Linked DNA regions of Xenopus tropicalis. The protein of the gene in region 1 interacts with the protein of each later gene in a biochemical or structural test. Links are inferred from orthologs where the notes say so. Each region holds a gene or a part of one and is shown on either strand. Other genes may lie near its edges. The genes, in order: rrm1 and rrm2.1.

Region 1 (9,572 bases):
AATACTGAGAACTGGCTCTGCTAAACACATGTAGAGACAATTATCAGTAAAAGATCACCATTGTCTATTTTAGTAACCATCACAAGTAGCTGCTACTAGTAGCTCCATGTGTCTTTAACATTAAGCATTCCCTGTTGGTGTATTAAATACAATAAGAGACCAAAAATTACTTCTAAATGAGTAAAAAATGTCTTTACATTTATTTCAATAGATTAAAAACATAAAAAAACCCTTACATGCAATGCCTGCTGGTGTCTTTAAACCTTTTGTATATAGAGGAAAACCCTATCATAGCACCCACTGTGCCTGATTCTGCAAAGATCTGGAAGGGAAGGTTGGTGTAACTGTCCTTCCTATATTCTTTAGACAAATGGCAACTCGAATGGCCTTGTACCGATGCTGAGAGTGTACAACAACACTGCGCGATATGTGGATCAAGGAGGCAACAAGGTTGGTACTGGTGGGTTGGAGGCATTAAAGTTGGTTCTTCTGTGAATGGGATCTCCAGTAAAAAAAAAAAAAAAATAAGGACATTAAATTAGGGCTGATTTCTCACACTCTCACACTGACTCGTGTCTCACCCCAGAGGCCTGGTGCATTTGCCATTTACCTGGAGCCGTGGCACTACGATGTCTTTGAATTCCTGGACCTAAAAAAGAACACTGGAAAGGAGGAGCAGAGAGCCAGGGATCTGTTCTATGCCATGTGGATACCAGATCTCTTTATGAAACGTGTAGAGAATAATCTGGTAAGGGAATACCTTTATATGCATTTAAATTGTGCTTCATATTTGCAGTGACATGGCTTCCCCAGTCAGTGAGCAGTAACGGGGCTGCATAGAATGCACTGAGCATTTAATAACACTGGGCTAAGGATTATACTATCATGGTGCCAGGGTCAGTGACCCCCACAGCCTGATGTTGGAGAGGTTCTGAGCAAACAGCCATCAATAATTATCCTCTTAAGGGCAAGAAATAAAACTGCATACCATTTTGTCTTTCAGGATTGGTCGTTAATGTGTCCTCATGAATGTCCTGGCTTGGAAGAAGTGTGGGGAGACAAGTTTGAAGAGCTCTATGAAAGGTACAATTCTATTCCTCATCTGTGCGCTGATTAGTTTTTGAACCATCGTCCCATAGTTGTTTAGAATGTGTGCCTAAATAGCTCTACATATAGATATGCACACAATAAACAAATATGGGCTCACAGTCTATAAATCAGTTTGTACCGGCAGTTAAAGGGGAGGGGGAGTGTTAGTAATTGTTGTTAGTAAGAAATTACCTTTTTTGCTGAAATGATTGGTGTAGGCAGTGGGATTATTTTTCTTTCTCTGAATCCTTTATGAATTAAGAGGTGTATATTATTTTCTGCCTTAAATGTTAGTGATTGGCTTATTGCAAAATGTAATTGGTGTAAAATCCCTTACGCTGTTTTGGCTTCCACAGATATGAGCAGGAAGGACGAGCCCGTAAGGTGGTGAAGGCCCAGCAGCTGTGGTACGCCATTATAGAGTCGCAGACGGAGACTGGCACTCCCTACATGCTGTACAAGGATGCCTGTAACCGCAAGAGCAATCAGCAGAACCTGGGCACCATTAAGTGCAGTAACCTGTGCACAGAGATCGTGGAGTACACCAGTGACGACGAGGTAATGGCAGCGTATGGCTTTCTGGGCTATCAAACTTTTTCTTCCCATTTACATTCGGTAGAATGGAGAATAAGATGCTCAATAAAGATGCCTTTAAAAGAGAAACTATTGCTGAAAACATGTGATAGTGTTTAGTTTTAATCTGCTAAAGGTTTTGGCATATAAATTGCCAGCCTAGAAACCAAATTCAAATTTAGATACATATTGTATCTTGTGTATTTATATCGCCATGAAAACCAATCGGGAGCATATGTTTTGGTTTTAAAATAGCGTAACAAAATAGCGTGATTTCCTCGGCTTTTCAGTTACTTTTTGGCAATGTACATTGTGTCCCACTCCAGTGCTTCGTGCCTCTTTAGCCACTCCTTTGTGTCTCCTAAAGCACTTAGAATTTGCCCCTTCTGACTACCCATATCTACACAAGCATGAAAGTTCCTAGGTGGTGGCCAGTAAGGGCTATGATTGGCTATTGAGTAGCCCCTATGTGGACAGGCAAACAGAAGGTTCTGTTTGGCAGTACATCTGGTTTTCATGCAACCAAAACTTGTCTCCAAGACTTGAATTCAAAAATAAGCCCCTGCTTTGAGGCCACTGGGAGCAACATCCTGGGGGTTGGGGAGCAACATGTTGCCACTGGTTGGGGATCACTGGGTTAAACCTGTTGTCAGCCTGTGTTTCTCACCCCAAAGGAAAGCCACTCTGCCATTAAGCTGAGTAGGTGGGTTTAGTGTTGGAGTATTAAAGACAAACAGTTCTCACATTTTTCTTTTGTAGCTGCAGACATTTGACCAGCTTATCAGGTTGGGTATATACTGTATGTTCACAAGAGGCTAAACATTAGATTAACAATTACTTTTTTTTAGTCTCCCTGTTTTTTTTTTATCTTGGTATTTTGTGGTAACACATCTAAACATTATAATCATTGAAGCACTATTTGCTTACCAGAGAGACAGCTAGAATAATAACAATAATTATCTTAGCCTTTAGATTTAGTTAAAGGAGAAAGAAAGGCAGTCACTTGGGGTTGCCAAAATGTTAGGCACCCCCAAGTGACTTGAATCGCATACCTTTTACCCCGGCTGGTGTCCCTGTATGGAGAGACCAGCACCAGCCCGGGGTAGCTGCAGCGCTTCCTCCTTCCTGTAGCGCTGCGCGCGCATGCACAGTAGAGTGAATAGTGGAACTTTAACAGAAGTCTGCTTTTCACTCTACTGCGCATGCACCTGCGTGTAAGTCTTAGCGAAACGCAGGCGGAAGAAGGAAGCCCATCGCTCCAGGTACCCCGGGCTGGTGCTGTTTTCTCCTAACAGGGGCACCAGCCCGGGGTACGAGGTAAGCGATTAGTCACTTGGGGGTGCCTAACATTTTAGCACCCCCAAGTGACTTAGCCTTTCCTTGGAGCGGTTCAGTGGCCCACAATAGATCTCTATCGCGGGTGGCAAACCACTCCGAAATGGCTCTCCGCCGGCATTAATTGAAGTTGCCAGTGGAAAACCCTTTGCATCGCTTTGTCTTCAGAAGTTGCCTACAGGAGGAAACTTGGGGATTACCAAAGCGATCTGAAGGGTTTCCACCAGCGACTTCAATTGTTGCCGGTGGAAATCAAAGTCACTCATAATAGAGATCTATTGTGGCCACTGAACCGCTCTGTGGGTTCATACCCTGAAGTCTTCCTTTTGTCATGCTGAATCTGTAACAGTGTATCTGTCTTCTACACAACATTTCTCCTTTACCTTCCTTGTCTCATTTTCCCTCTCATTATTATCATTCCTCTGCCCCTCCCGTAGGTTGCGGTCTGTAACTTGGCCTCTTTAGCCTTGAACATGTACGTGACTCCAGAGCGCAGCTTTGACTTCAAGAAGTTGGCCGATGTTACCAAAGTCATTGTCCGAAATTTGAACAAAATTATCGAAATAAACTTTTATCCTGTGCCCGAGGTGAGTCTCTTTGTTCCATAAATAAAAAGAAAAGCGAAATTGTGAGCTGTTACAAATAGGGGTGCACCGAGCCCAGTTTTTTGGTTCGGCCAAATCCATATTAAGGGAACGGAATGCAAATCCTAATTAAGATTTGGAAATGTCGGCATGTGCAGTGAAAAATTCTACACTTCCGGGTATATATATTCTGTACAACTTGGCACCTTTCCTTCTCCTTTATATACAGAGAGGTACAGGGAGTCATTTCATATACAAAACTGACCAACCCAGGATCTGAGTTACCGTTTTATATGTAGTAAATGGCAGGATCTGTCTATATATTAGATATGTGCCTCAGAGCACACAATATAGTACAGGTATCCGATCCCTTATCCGGAAACACATCCAGAAAGTGCCAAATTACGGAAAGGCCGTCTCCCATAGACTCCATTTTAATCAATTTTTAATAATAAAACAGTACCTGTACTTGATCCCAACTAAGATATAATTACCCCTTATTGGGGCAGAACAGCCCTATTGGGTTTAATGTTTTATTAATTTTTTAGTAGACTTAAGGTATGGAGATCCAAATTACGTAAAGACCCCTTATCCGGAATACCCTTGTTCCCGAGCATTCTGGATAACGGGTGCTATACCTGTACAACCATTATTTGCACGCACACAAAATAGAAGATATTGCCAGCGCTCGGCTTTAAACTGGGTAAATCCCTTCACATTCTTGTTAATGTACTGTAAAATGTATTTAACCTACATCTGCTTTGATTGATGCGTTTGATTATTTACAATGTATGGAACATTAGTTTAGTGCCATTTGTCCAATTGCCATTTAATTCATATCTGTACGTCGGCTTCCTGCTGCGGCCTGTACTGCTGTGGCATAACTAAGCTGCCCTGTTTAATGTTTCCTTCATTGTTTTGCACCATTTTTATGATTTTTTTATTTTGTGATCAAATCTTTCCTACAGGCCGAATATTCCAACAAGAGGCATCGGCCAATCGGGATTGGAGTGCAGGGCTTGGCAGACGCCTTCATCCTCATGAGATACCCGTTTGAGAGTGAGGAGGCTCAGCTGTTAAACAAGCAAATATTTGAGACCATTTATTACGCTGCGCTGGAATCCAGCTGTGAGCTGGCCAAGGAGCTGGGTCCGTATGATACGTATGAAGGGAGCCCCGTCAGTAAAGGGGTAAGAATGGGGTAAAACTGGAATACAGACCCCACTGCCTGTAACTTGCAGATGTGTATTATGGTTCTGGTTATAGAATTACAGCTGGGTTTGTGTGTATCCATCTTGTCTCTCGCAGATCCTACAGTACGACATGTGGAATGTAACTCCCACAGGTCTCTGGGACTGGGCTGCCTTGAAGGAGAAGATTGCAAAGTGAGTAGTGTCTGTCTGGCTTATAATGCCTTGGTAAAGTGCTTACAGTTAACTTTTAGTATAGAATGGCCACTTCTAAGCAACTTTTCAGTTGGTCTTTATAGTTTTTTTAATTATTTGCCGCCTTCTAACTTTTTGCAGTCACTGACCCCCGCAGCCAAAAAACTGTTAAAATGTTATTGCTACTTTTTTAGTTTTTCTATTCAGCCCCTCCCCTATTCAGCTATCAGTCTTTCATTTAAACCACACCCTGGATGCTAAGGTAACTTGGACCCTAGCAACCAGATACCTGCTGAAACTCCAAACAGGAGAGCTGCTGAACAAAAACTGAAATAAAAAAAAATACAAATAAAAAATGAAGACCAATTGCAAATTCTCGATGTTACTCTTCTACATTATACTAAAAGTTAACTCCAAGGTGAACATCCCCTTTAATGATGACTTCCCCGTCACCATCCTATATAGTATGGGTTTATATATGACATACTCAACAGCCCCTGGATGTTAGTTCAGCAACTAAATGTGTTTCTCTTGACCCATTTCATATGTTTCAGTTAAGCCTGTATGTGTAAGGTACCAACAGAGCCCATAGTTTAGGGCGGGGACCCTCCACTACGACCCGCTGGCTGGATATACCCGCCCCCCCCCCCACTGAATTCTCACCTACCTTCCTCAGTGTGGCTTTTTGCCCCATTGCTTCACAACACCATGTCCCACTGGGTGACACTACTGATGTGTAACGCTGTGCTGTTGTGCGCTGCCCCCCCAGCTGGTGAGGGCGCTGGGGGGGGCTAATAACTGTAGTCCAGCCTCCAACAGTCTGAGGGGTCTGAGTTTGACCCCTGATTTACTGTATAGGGTACCTGCCAGTATATGTGTTATATATCTATCTTCTATTTATCTTCCTGCTCTTCCTGTTGCCTGTTTATCCAATACGTTTTCTCTTTGTTTTGGAATTCACTGTGTAAATTACATTGATTATCTTTGTGTTTACAGTCTGCGAGGTATTCATAGGGCTTAATTGCACCTAAAAGCCCATTATATAATGGATAATTGCCAGTTAGTCTTAAACAAGGTGTTATGGCTTTCTAAGCGTACTCCTCTGGGATTGGTGTGTGTATAACTAGTGTTCCCATGTTAATACTGAAACTCTCCCACCTCCCCAGTGAGTCAGTGTGCTTACTGTCACATTGAAACCCAGCTGCCAGCACTGTTTTACCATGTTAGGCTTTCAAACCTTAAGCCTTGTTAATTCTTTGGTTTTTTTTCCCCTAGATACGGCGTCCGGAACAGTTTGCTTCTGGCTCCAATGCCCACGGCTTCCACTGCACAAATCCTGGGCAATAATGAGTCCATTGAGCCATATACCAGCAATATATACACACGCAGAGTCCTGTCTGGCGAGTTCCAGGTAGGTCTCGGCCTACATACGTCTAATGTTGTTGCATGTAGAGTTGCAACTTTCTATTTTGTATGAAATAGTAAAGTGTGCCTGAGTCTGAGCTTTCAGCCAGCGCTACACATGAACTGCTTTCAGCTAACCTATTGTTTCTCCTACTCCCATGTAACTGGAGGAGTCCCAAGCCGGACTTGGATTTCTTACTATTGAGTGCTATTCTGATACCTACTGGGAGCTGCTATCTTGCTCCCTTCCCATTGTTCTGCTGATCGGCTGCTGAGGGGGGAGGATATCACTCCAACTTGCAGCGCAGCAGTAAAGTGTGACTGAAGTTTATCAGAGCACAGGTCACATGGCTGTGGCACCCTGGGAAATGACCTGGCTTCTGTGAGTAACAGACACTTTATGTACCCTAAAGGCTTGTAACTTTTCTCTTACAGATTGTGAACCCACATTTAATGAAAGACCTGACAGAGCGAGGGCTGTGGAACGAAGAAATGAAAAATCAGATTATTGCCAACAATGGCTCCATACAGGTATGGGTCTGGGCCGCTGCTGGCTGTGGGGCTCATCCCAGTGGAATTGTTTATAGACATTGTAGAGGGGCTATTCTGTATATTCCATTTATTCCTGGCTTGGAACATTCTTGGTCTATGATCCATCTATTATAAGATTGTATGGATAATGTTGAAAAGAATTAAGAATTGGTGATTGTAGGTATCCAGTTGATTCTGGTCCAGCCTACATTTAGGCCAATATAATTGGGCTGAAGTTTTATTTGAAATACTTTAATGCTGTAGAAGCTGCTGAGGCTTTAACTCTTCATGGGACAGAGTCCAGAGTCTGCCCCATTAGTGTCACTGGGATGTGCTTTGTGTCTGTCTCTAACGTTCTATTGTCCCGTCTCCCTAGAATGTCCCAGACATCCCTGCTGATCTGAAAGAGCTGTACAAGACGGTGTGGGAAATATCTCAGAAGACGGTGATTACAATGGCGGCAGACAGAGGAGCGTTCATCGACCAGAGCCAGTCACTGAACATCCATGTCGCAGAGCCAAACTACGGCAAACTCACCAGCATGCACTTCTTTGGCTGGAAGCAGGTAACGAACTTATTCTCCTGTTCAAACCCAACTTACACTCCGTTAGTAGCGACCATATTATGTGGAAATTGATATTGGGTTATTTTACAATAAGTTTTTTTTTTTTAACAAGACTAAAAACCTTCACATCCCCAGGCAACATGTAGCAAGAGAAGCTCATCCCACTAGGTACAAAAGAGCTCTGCTACAGGATAGAACAGAACCTCCCTGTCTTGTATTATGACCCACTAAGTCACCATTTTCAGCAAGTGAGGAAATACAGGGGTAGGGGGGATAACTCTCAGTACAAGTGAGGGAATACAGGGGTATGGGGGATAGCTCTCAGTACAAGTGAGGGAATACAGGGTTATGGGAGATAGCTCTCAGTACAAGTGAGGGAATACAGGGGTAGGGGAGATAGCTCTCAGTACAAGTGAGGGAATACAGGGGTAGGGGGGATAGCTCTCAGTACAAGTGAGGGAATACAGGGGTAGGGGGATAGCTCTCAGTACAAGTGAGGGAATACAGGGGTAGGGGGGATAGCTCTCAGTACAAGTGAGGGAATACAGGGGTAGGGGGGATAGCTCTCAGTACAAGTGAGGGAATACAGGGGTAGGGGAGATAGCTCTCAGTACAAGTGAGGGAATACAGGGGTAGGGGGGATAGCTCTCAGTACAAGTGAGGGAATACAGGGGTAGGGGGGATAGCTCTCAGTACAAGTGAGGGAATACAGGGGTAGGGGGGATAGCTCTCAGTACAAGTGAGGGAATACAGGGTTAGGGGGGATAGCTCTCAGTACAAGTGAGGGAATACAGGGGTAGGGGAGATAGCTCTCAGTACAAGTGAGGGAATACAGGGGTAGGGGAGAGAGCTCTCAGTACAAGTTGCCCCAGGGACTGGTCCGATTGCCATCTTGGAGTCAGGAAGGAATTTTTTCCCCTCTGCAGCAAATTAGAGAGGCTTCAGATGGGGTTTTTTGCCTTCCTCTGGATCAACTAGTAATTAGGCAGGTTATATATTGTCATTATGGTTGAACGTGATGGACGTGTGTCCACCCAACTTACTATGTTACCAGGGCTCAGGCCATAGGACTAAGGTCGATTTTTAGGATTTTAGCCGCCTCCCTAATGTTCCCGTCTCTCATGTACATTGTGGTAGCCACAGGCAGCGCAGTATTTCTCTCCCTATGTATCGGGGATTAACTCTGCAGGGTGACTTTGTGCAATGAGAGAGGCCAGGGTCAGACTGGGCCAATGGTGCACTGGGAAAAAAACCTGGCGGCCCAGCTGTCCTAGACCCAAACCTTGTGTCGCTCCTAAGGTAAGACTAAAGCAGGTGTGCTCAGGGGAGGGGTTTGTGGGGCCCCAATGGGCCCTGTACCCCCCAGTCTGACCCTGGGAGTGGCAGGGGGTTGTGCTGGGTTGAACCTTGGGTGGTGGTTTTGCTGCCTACAGGCTGGAGCATCTCAAGTGCTGCCTTTGGGGCTGAGGGAGAGAAATAGAAATTTAAGTAGAAATATGTCCTTTCATGTCAAGGCAGTAACTCGTGGTAACCAGTCATAGTCATAGTAACATAGTAAGTTAGATTGAAAAAAGACATACGTCCATCACGTTCAACCATAATGCCAGTCAGATTTCAACCTTTTTTTTGTCGGTTTTATTAAGTGTTGAACCTTGAGTGATATTCCTACGAGGTTCAATAGGTATAATAATTGCATGTCTTACAATTAATAGTTTTAGTTTTTCAAAATAAAGATTGTAACTGATTGTAACTGATTTAACTGGCAGAATACTAATCCCTGATTGGGCTGCTTTGTACGTGGGCTGTAACCCATAGAACCCGGTGTTAGTAACTGGGCCCACACTCTGGCTGGTTCTGTGTACATCAAGTCTAACCCCCATATTCTCCCGGCAGGGGCTGAAGACAGGAATGTACTACCTGCGCACGCGGCCGGCTGCCAATCCCATCCAGTTCACACTCAATAAGGAGAAGTTAAAGGAAAAGGAGCTGATATCCAAGGAGACTATGGAGAAGGACAAGGAGGAGAAAGAGAAGAACAAGGCGGCCATGGTTTGCTCGCTGGAGAACAGAGATGAGTGCCTTATGTGCGGCTCTTAGCGCGGGGGG
Region 2 (9,215 bases), on another chromosome or scaffold:
CGGAACAGTAAGATTGAAGCACTTTCATTTTACACGTGATTAGTTTCATTGATTTGTTTTGGAAAGATAAGCTGTATAAGTCTCCTTGCTTAGAAGCCTGAGACAAACCTCATTAGATGCAGAGCAATTAAGTATAAAAACTATTATGTTATTTATATTTTTATAAATTGGTGGAGGAAGGCTGGAATATTTTATTTTTTTTAATATAGACCCTCTTTATCGGCTCTTGGAGAAATGGCATATATATAACTGTTAATTTGCTACAGGTTTGTCAAAGCTTAAAAGATCCTAGAATACAGGATGAGCCTCTCCTCAGGGATAACCCAGGGCGCTTTGTGATCCTACCTATTGAGTATCATGATATTTGGCAGATGTACAAGAAGGCGGAGGCTTCTTTCTGGACAGCAGAAGAGGTAAAAGACCAAAAAATCCAGTGTGGTTGTGTTTGTATTACCTACAGCAATGATTGTATAGTAGTAGGGATGGGCGAAATGATTTGTGTGGCGACAGTAGAATTTGCTGTGTGTCGCTTCCTTTGACATGGGCGTCAGCTTTTGATGCATGCATAGTTTTTTTTTTTAACGTGTGCATCATTCCTTTGATGCCTTGTCAAAGGAAGCAATGCGTGGCAATGCGTGAAATTATTTTGCCCATCGCTAGTTAGTTGCACTATATTATGGATTTTTGTGTATTAAAGACAAGGGACTGTTCAACTCTTCTTGTGCATTTTAATATATGTTCATGCCCTTCCTGGTTCCTGATCAACTCCCACCCACATTTGATGACGTAATGGATTTTCACAGGGATTTGCTTTGGGTGAGGGAAGAAAAGAAGTGATGATATGAACCTTGAAATGTCCCATGGCATATCTTAAGCTGCAGTCTAAAGGGGAGGACTGCATTAGTGACCCTGAACCCAAAGTATATAAATCCTGTTCTTAAGGGAATGTCGTGCTGTTTGGTGAGATTGTGGGAGCTTGGAAGAAAGGTCTGTGGTGGGTTCTTTGAGTGCATGAGGTAAAATATTGGTCAAGGCTATAGAAAGCATGGGCAACGGTAGGGTGTTATCTATGCCAGTTGAAATGGGATGTCGCTGAATTAAAAAAAACAAAAAAAAAACAGCAGAATTCTTAAATAACCAGGCTGCCTCAACTGAAATACCCAGCCCAGGTACAATTCTAATGAATGCTGAATGGGACCTCCTTTCTACTGTCTCATACCACATGGCACTTATAATATATAGTCTTGTAAAGAATCTGCACTCGCCAGTATCGGGCACAGGCTGGGTGCTGACAAAAATAATGCATCAAACTCAACAGTAGAAAGCACTCACAGCTACAGCATCAATCAGGTCAGTGATTTCAGCATACCATCTACGCGTTTCGATCACCACAGGATCGTCATCAGGATATATATATATATATATATATATATATATATATATATATATTGTATTTATTCATTATATCACTTGTCCTCCCTGTGTGTAATTTTGTATTCTGTAAGACTGTACAGTGCTGCGTACCCTTGTGGCGCTTTATAAATTAAGTTATACATACATACTGCCAAGCTGTTACCCTGGGCTCTGTGAATGCACAGTGCAGCAAATGTTAGACTGAGTTCAGGCCAGCTTCTAGAGATCACTGTGGGGACAGAATAGCTGCATTAATCCAAATTGGTGCCAAAACAACTGTTGGGTTTATTTAAATGATTTTTAGTAGACTGAATTTCCCAATTATATAAAGGTCCCTTAATCAGAACCCCAGATCCCAAGCATTCTGGATAACAGATCCCATACTATTATGTGAAGAAAAATAATGCATGTGTAATTGTCCAGCACATACTGAATTTCAATTTACTTTTCTGTCCCTGTATGTACTCCGCAATGGAAACTATACTTAGACAATGTGCTCCTTGCTATAATTCTCTTTTCTGTCTCTCTGTTCAGTGGTTGCTTTTGTCTGTCATGTAGGTGGATCTTTCTAAAGATCTTCCGCACTGGGAAGCTCTAAAGCCTGAGGAAAGATACTTCATTTCTTATGTGTTGGCCTTTTTTGCAGCAAGTGATGGCATTGTGAATGAGAATCTGGTAAGTGCAGCCACGTTTATACATTTCTCTGCGTTGTTATATCAGGATGTGCCCAAATTATGGATTAATAAAATAGACATTGCATTGGCCTAGGTGCAGACACACTAAGCGGAATTTGGTGCCAAACTACATACATGATACAGTGGCTCCAGGTGCAGGCACAAAGATTTTTGAAGTGTAGGGGCAGATTCTTGGTCTGAATTTATCTGCAGGCTGAGAATCCTTGTGTGGCTTCAGCCTAAAGTATTGCATACCTTTTGTATTCCCACCCTTTTGTGAAGAGACCTTACTGAAGGAACTGACTCATCTGGACAGCAGCATCTTTTTCCTCAAAAGATGCAAAAAGGAAAAACCCAAAGGCCTTGCACTAAAGAACCCAGTATGGTGCACCCCACTTTGCTAAACAACTGCACCAGAATGACTGAAGAACCACACCTAATCAAGGTGTTATACATAAAAAAAAAAAAAGTAACACTGCAACCATTCTCAAGGTCAAATTACTGGAATGGAGACTGAGGATGTAAAGTTTGGATTTGCATTGTACTGAAAAAACTACAAGGGCTACGTCTCCACAACGCAGTATAAATTCTGTACAGGCACAAAAAAACATTTGTGGTAAACACATAGATTATACTCCAGCAAGAGAGGCGCTAACATTATTCACAAAAGGCCCCACAGAAAAGCAATTGGCAAAACTGAATTCTGCAATGACATAGAAGAATTCCTTGAGGCATAATTTCCTAAAAAAAAAGTGTCCAACAGGAGGTATTTACATTGAAGTAACAGGACAAAGCCGCAGAAAAAGGACCACTAGTCACTGGTTTACCATAAACAATAAAAAGGCCACACCAGGAAGAAAAGAGTGCCAAAGTCTCTCCAAATACTGCTCACAAGGTGGAACAGAGTGGAAAGGCCAGGGTGTGCTGGTGAGTGTGGATTGGCACACCAGGAAGAAAACATTGTAATAGCCCCAGCCGCAACCTGGACGACTCCAAAATCTCTTATCAAAGGCAATTTAAAACCTCCCCATTTGTGTGTCTCTACTTGCAATCCAAATATAAAATACATAAATATATTAGAGCCTACATAGCTTCTTTGTAATCCGCTTTAAAAAAGGAACTGAAATGTTCCTTACTATGATTTATCTTTGTTGGCCAAGAAAGGGATCTCCTTTTTACACAACTTAAATTATGCTTTGTATCAAAGTTTTTACCCTAATAAGCACAAACTGTACTTTGAATCTCAGGGTTTGTCTCAAGCCCATTCTCGTGAGCATCTAATGGTGCATTTTTGCTGTGCACTACATTACATAATCCCATGTGCTTGTTGCACGCAACATACACCAAACTTACTAATACCAGCACCTTGATTCATTGCTGTCTCCCAATGCTTTAGGTGGAGCGCTTCAGCCAGGAAGTGCAAGTAACCGAGGCTCGCTGCTTTTATGGCTTCCAAATTGCAATGGAGAATATTCATTCTGAGATGTACAGCCTTCTTATCGACACCTACATTAAAGATCCCAAGGAAAGGTAAGCCTGTTTTTATGTTGCACCCAATCCCTATTTATAGCAGTAGATAAATTCAGACAACATGTGGCAGAATGGGTGACGGCGAAAGTGAGGACTCTGGACTGCAGAAACTCAAACCCTTGTTCTATAGAATAGAGTACTGTACTTGTTTTAAACTTAATGCGCCTTATACCTGAAACTAATGGAGTGCAAACTTTACAGGGAGTTCCTCTTCAATGCAATAGAAACCTTACCCTGTGTGAAAAAGAAGGCAGAATGGGCCCTGCGTTGGATAAGCGACAGAGAAGCACCTTTTTGTAAGACAAATCGGAGTACCAAGCTGAATTATTCCGCCTCCATCCCCTGTTTATCCTTGGTGACTGGAACACATGAGAGGTGATCGTGTCTGTGTTTACTGCTATATATTGGATTCAAATGTTTTGTTTTTCTTCCTCCTAGGCGAGCGCATTGTGGCCTTTGCTGCTGTTGAAGGGATCTTTTTCTCCGGTTCATTTGCTTCCATATTCTGGCTGAAGAAACGGGGGCTGATGCCTGGACTCACTTTCTCTAATGAACTTATCAGCAGAGATGAAGTAATTGCTTTATTTCTTTTTTTATTCTTACTCCGCTCCCTTGTGAATTCTTTATTTCTGATGGTTGACATTTTGTTTTTTTTATAGGGTTTACACACTGACTTTGCTTGCCTTCTGTTTAAACATGTCGTACACAAACCCTCTGAGCAGCGTGTCAGGGAAATTATCATTGATGCTGTCAAGATTGAGCAGGTATGTCTTAACTTAGTACGGTAACCCCTTTTTCTGTTCTGCATTATATTAATGTTCGGCTACTATAAAATCTCAAAGTAATTTGGAGGTAACTATATTTTTCTGCTCCATTCTTCTAGGAGTTCTTGACTGAAGCTTTGCCTGTGGAGCTAATTGGTATGAACTGCAAACTGATGAAGCAGTATATTGAATTTGTGGCAGATCGTCTTCTGCTGGAGCTAGGTTTTAAAAAGGTAACTTTTACATTGTGGTCTGCCAGTGCTCTGAAATCTTTGCTGTTTAAGGGGAAAGCATTTCTTATTCTGCACTTAAGCAGGGTTGGACTGATACCAGAGAATCCTGCTGGTGGGTGCTGGTTTCGCTTTGGTCTAAAAATTAACACTATCTGTAAAAATGGCCTCTTTATTGGAGCTCCCTATAGATCCTCTTGTCCCTATCCATGATTCAGATGAGGGGTGGGCATGTCCTAACTGTCCCTGCAGTCACACAAGCAAAGACTTCAGTTCCCTATCAGGTCAGCCTAGCTGTTGGTTGGTATCCTACAGTGCAGTGCACAGGCCCCCCGGAACACCCTGGGAAAGGAGGCAGCAGGAAGTGTAACAGATGAGCGAGACTAGTCTGGGTTTTTTGAGAAATTTTAAAGCACATTCCTTCTATATTTAGATAAGTAAATTTTTTACACTATGTCCCTTTTAAACCTACATAGTCTTACCATTTGGCACTGCCTCCATCGAATTTATACAAGAGTGCTCCTTGGATATCTGGTTTTATTTTGGGCCCTATGAGACCTTGACCAATTTTGGGTGTAAAGGAATGTGTTAGATTGACTTTCTTTCTCATAAAGCTTTAAACCATGGCTGTAGTACAATACTGGGCAGCTAATTTATGAATAATAATGAAATAAATGACCCGTGTAACACCCTTGGGCAGGCTAACCAGAAATAACCTTTGCTCCCATGTTTCCTTGTAGTTTCAGATTCCTTCTAGTGTGTGCAGTCTATAAAGGGCTTCAAAGTTGTGGTCTATACTACTTTTGCCTCTGGTTTTGTGGGAAGGCAAATACAGAATTTTTTTTTTTTTTTTTCAGATTTTTAAGAGTGAGAATCCATTTGATTTTATGGAGAACATATCCTTGGAAGGAAAGACTAATTTCTTTGAGAAGAAAGTTGCCGAATACCAGAAGATGGGTGTCATGTCCAAGGCAACAGACAAGCAATTCACTTTAAATGCCGAATTTTAAATGTTTCTTATATTTGTGTTTAAACGTGCATGGCATTTATAAATGCTGCCGGTTTTTTACTCTGTTCTAGTCTGCATGCTATAGTAAAGTATGTGTGCCTTCACTTTGAAAACAAATGTTGCTTGTTCTTGGCCCTGCTTATAAAGAGAGCAGGTAAGTCAGTGTCAGAAAATCTACCTTGCTCTGTGGTGCCTCCACAGAATACTCTATAGCTTGGTATGAGCAGGAACACCTTTTGTAGTTTTGATAGATCTTTGATTATAAAATGTTGTAATAAAAATGTAATATATAATTGAATTTGGGTATGCTGATTTGTTTGGGCAGAGGGGGGTGCCAGATTCACTGAAAGGGTAAGGCCGAGTGCAGGTGCTTTGCTTATTAGAGCAGCAGTTGCCATGCTTGAAGACCTGTCTGAACCTATATGTGACCATAATCTCCCTGCTGTTTGCCATTGTCCTTCTATAGGGTATAGGTAAAAATATTGCACCACAAGATAGAAATATTGTGGGTGCCACATTGCTATTTCCAATTATCAGTAATTACAGCTGCCTGCCCTTTTTCTTACTAAAGAGTGTCTGACCATATTGCTCAAGGATAACTTCCATGGTGGTAATGATTGGCCGGGTGCCTTGGGTTACCAGCTTGGGATGGTGCTGGGAGTAGGCAGTGCGGTGCTAGTCATTGTTATCATTCACTGGTAATGTTTGGCCAGTCCTGGAACCTGGTATTGTACTTCAAGGAAGAAAAATGTGGTCACAGATGGCCACTAGAGGGCAATATTTTCACAGTAATGTGAATAGAGAGAAACCACTACCTAATTTTCAAAAGAAACCGTCCAAAAGTAAAATTTTTATGGCTTTACATGCATTTAGCAAACATAGCAGTAGATTTTAATGGCAAGGGTCGTGAGCATCATTCAGTATTGGAGTATACAGTATATTTGTTACCTGCCCGTGCCAATTTTTGTTACCGCTGCACCTTGTGAAATTACAGTGCTAGAAGGATGGACCGTGCTTCACAATTAAAATGATCATGCAATTATTTTAAGTTCTAGTTCTAAGTGGTGCATTGTGGCCTTTACTACACCTTAAAACCCTCTTGTCCACCTTCGTGTTGATTGCTACTTATGATGCCATTCTTAGTCATATTCCTGAATACAATCCCTTAAGAACAAAGAATCCAAATTACTTCCCTGCTGCGGGCACTGTACTTGCAAGTCAGCAGCTTGAGACTATATCCCTTTTTTTAAATACAATAACCGTAATTGTGATTGGTGGGTGGCTAAAAAGTCATCCTACCCTTTCTTGAAACTAGCTAATATATATGTCTGTTGTGCTCGGGATCTCCATAACTTAAAGGAGAGCTAAACCCTAAAAATAATATATATAGAAATGCTTAGGGGTTGTTGCAAGTTATCAAGCAGAAAATGAGGGTTGTCTGTCATATAAGATGCTACTAGTAACAGGAAATTCTAATGCAAATGCCCTGGATTTAGATCTGTCATGTAATGTGAATCTGAGTGAATTACTAATCCGCTTTTATACTCTATTTATGCAGTATATTTTGAGTCGGTCCCTAAGCTCAGTAACTGACAGCAGCACAGAGCATGTGGAGGGAAGCAGCAGAAAAGAAGTTGGGGGGGCTACTGGGGCATCTTTGGAGGCACAGATCTCTACTGCTAAAGGGTTGTAGTCACCTTGGGCTGGTACAGAAACCTAAAACATAATCTACAACATTTCTGCCCTACTTCTTTAGCTAAGCTTTAGCTCTTCTTTAAGTCTGTTAAAAATCATTTAAGAATTGAATAAACCCAATAGGATTGTTTTTCACCCAATAAGGATTAATTATAAGTTAGTTGGGATCAAGTACAGGTACTGTTTTATTACAGAGAAAAGGGAATCATTTAACCATTAAATAAGCCCAATAGGGCTGTTCTGCCCCCAATAAGGGGTAATTATATCTTAGTTGGGATCAAGTACAGGTACTGTTTTATTATTACAGAGAAAAGGGAACCATTTAACCATGAAATAAACCCAATAGGGCTGTTCTGCCCCCAATAAGGGGTAATTATATCTTAGTTGGGATCAAGTACAGGTACTGTTTTATTACAGAGAAAAGGGAATCATTTAACCATTAAATAAGCCCAATAGGGCTGTTCTGCCCCCAATAAGGGGTAATTATATCTTAGTTGGGATCAAGTACAGGTACTGTTTTATTACAGAGAAAAGGGAATCATTTAACCATTAAATAAACCCAATAGGGCTGTTCTGCCCCCAATAAGGGGTAATTATATCTTAGTTGGGATCAAGTACAGGTACTGTTTTATTATTACAGAGAAAAGGGAATCATTTAACCATGAAATAAACCCAATAGGGCTGTTCTGTCCCCAATAAGGGGTAATTATATCTTAGTTGGGATCAAGTACAGGTACTGTTTTATTACAGAGAAAAGGGAATCATTTAACCATTAAATAAACCCAATAGGGCTGTTCTCCCCCAATAAGGGGTAATTATATCTTAGTTGGGATCAAGTACAGGTACTGTTTTATTATTACAGAGAAAAGGGAATCATTTAACCATTAAATAAACCCAATAGGGCTGTTCTGCCACCAATAAGGGGTAATTATATCTTAGTTGGGATCAAGTACAGGTACTGTTTTATTATTACAGAGAAAAGGGAATCCTTTAACCATGAAATAAACCCAATAGGGCTGTTCTGTCCCAATAAGGGGTAATTATATCTTAGTTGGGATCAAGTACAGGTACTGTTTTATTATTACAGAGAAAAGGGAATCATTTAACCATGAAATAAACCCAATAGGGCTGTTCTGTCCCCAATAAGGGGTAATTATATATTAGTTGGGATCAAGTACAGGTACTGTTTTATTATTACAGAGAAAAGGGAATCATTTAACCATTAAATAAACCCATACCTGTACCATAACAATATAACGGCACAAGGAACTTCAAAGTGACTTTAATATCTATATTTTAACAGAGTACATAATGTAAGTAATGTGGCACAAATGCCATTGCTAAGGACAGATTATAAGGATTATCCTTAATTGTTATTTATGGCTTGTGTGTATTATAAGGATATAACTGATCACAGATCAGGTCATAGAAATCTGAAGTCACATTTATGAAGTTATAATTCTGAAGGTTATCTGAGGCTTCTGTGTGTGTATAGACACACACACACACACATTGTGAACCACTATGGTTCCACAAATATAAATGTAAAGCTTCTCCTTTGCTATTATGTTACCATGACACCCGGATGTATTTCATTCTTTAATTATACTATGGCCTAATTAGATCTACAGTACATTGCAGAAGTTACATTAATCAGATGTTTCCATAATTAGAGAACTGCAAGATTTTTACAGCTTTTTTCCCTCCCCAAGTTCAGCAAATATGTGTTACCTTTGATCAAACTAGAATTTTAATGAGTGTCTTAGTTCATATTTGTACTGTGTGCGAAGGCTGGAGTTTAGCTTGTTACCTAACGGCTTGGTCCTTTCAAGCTGAAATTCAATTTACATTTTTTTTTCCTATTTATGTTGTGGTAGAAATAAGAGATTGGATCTTATAA

Evidence for each region.
Region 2: the proteins of rrm1 (region 1) and rrm2.1 form a complex in vitro, tested with the Homo sapiens proteins (3 studies listed by BioGRID and IntAct). The link is inferred for Xenopus tropicalis from reciprocal best matches to the Homo sapiens genes RRM1 and RRM2.

Annotation. Positions count from the first base shown.
Region 1 is NC_030678.2:178,096,100-178,105,671, reverse strand, and holds part of rrm1 (ribonucleoside-diphosphate reductase large subunit), read left to right. Parts: intron 1-366; coding exon 367-450; intron 451-586; coding exon 587-748; intron 749-1,003; coding exon 1,004-1,083; intron 1,084-1,445; coding exon 1,446-1,647; intron 1,648-3,434; coding exon 3,435-3,584; intron 3,585-4,549; coding exon 4,550-4,771; intron 4,772-4,889; coding exon 4,890-4,966; intron 4,967-6,241; coding exon 6,242-6,377; intron 6,378-6,805; coding exon 6,806-6,901; intron 6,902-7,277; coding exon 7,278-7,466; intron 7,467-9,359; coding exon 9,360-9,563; 3' UTR 9,564-9,572. UniProt on the Homo sapiens protein: Provides the precursors necessary for DNA synthesis. Catalyzes the biosynthesis of deoxyribonucleotides from the corresponding ribonucleotides.
Region 2 is NC_030681.2:138,194,076-138,203,290, forward strand, and holds the end of rrm2.1 (ribonucleotide reductase M2, gene 1), read left to right. Parts: intron 1-266; coding exon 267-413; intron 414-1,971; coding exon 1,972-2,088; intron 2,089-3,483; coding exon 3,484-3,617; intron 3,618-3,818; coding exon 3,819-3,913; intron 3,914-4,055; coding exon 4,056-4,189; intron 4,190-4,276; coding exon 4,277-4,381; intron 4,382-4,500; coding exon 4,501-4,614; intron 4,615-5,468; coding exon 5,469-5,621; 3' UTR 5,622-5,918; downstream 5,919-9,215. UniProt on the Homo sapiens protein: Provides the precursors necessary for DNA synthesis. Catalyzes the biosynthesis of deoxyribonucleotides from the corresponding ribonucleotides. Inhibits Wnt signaling.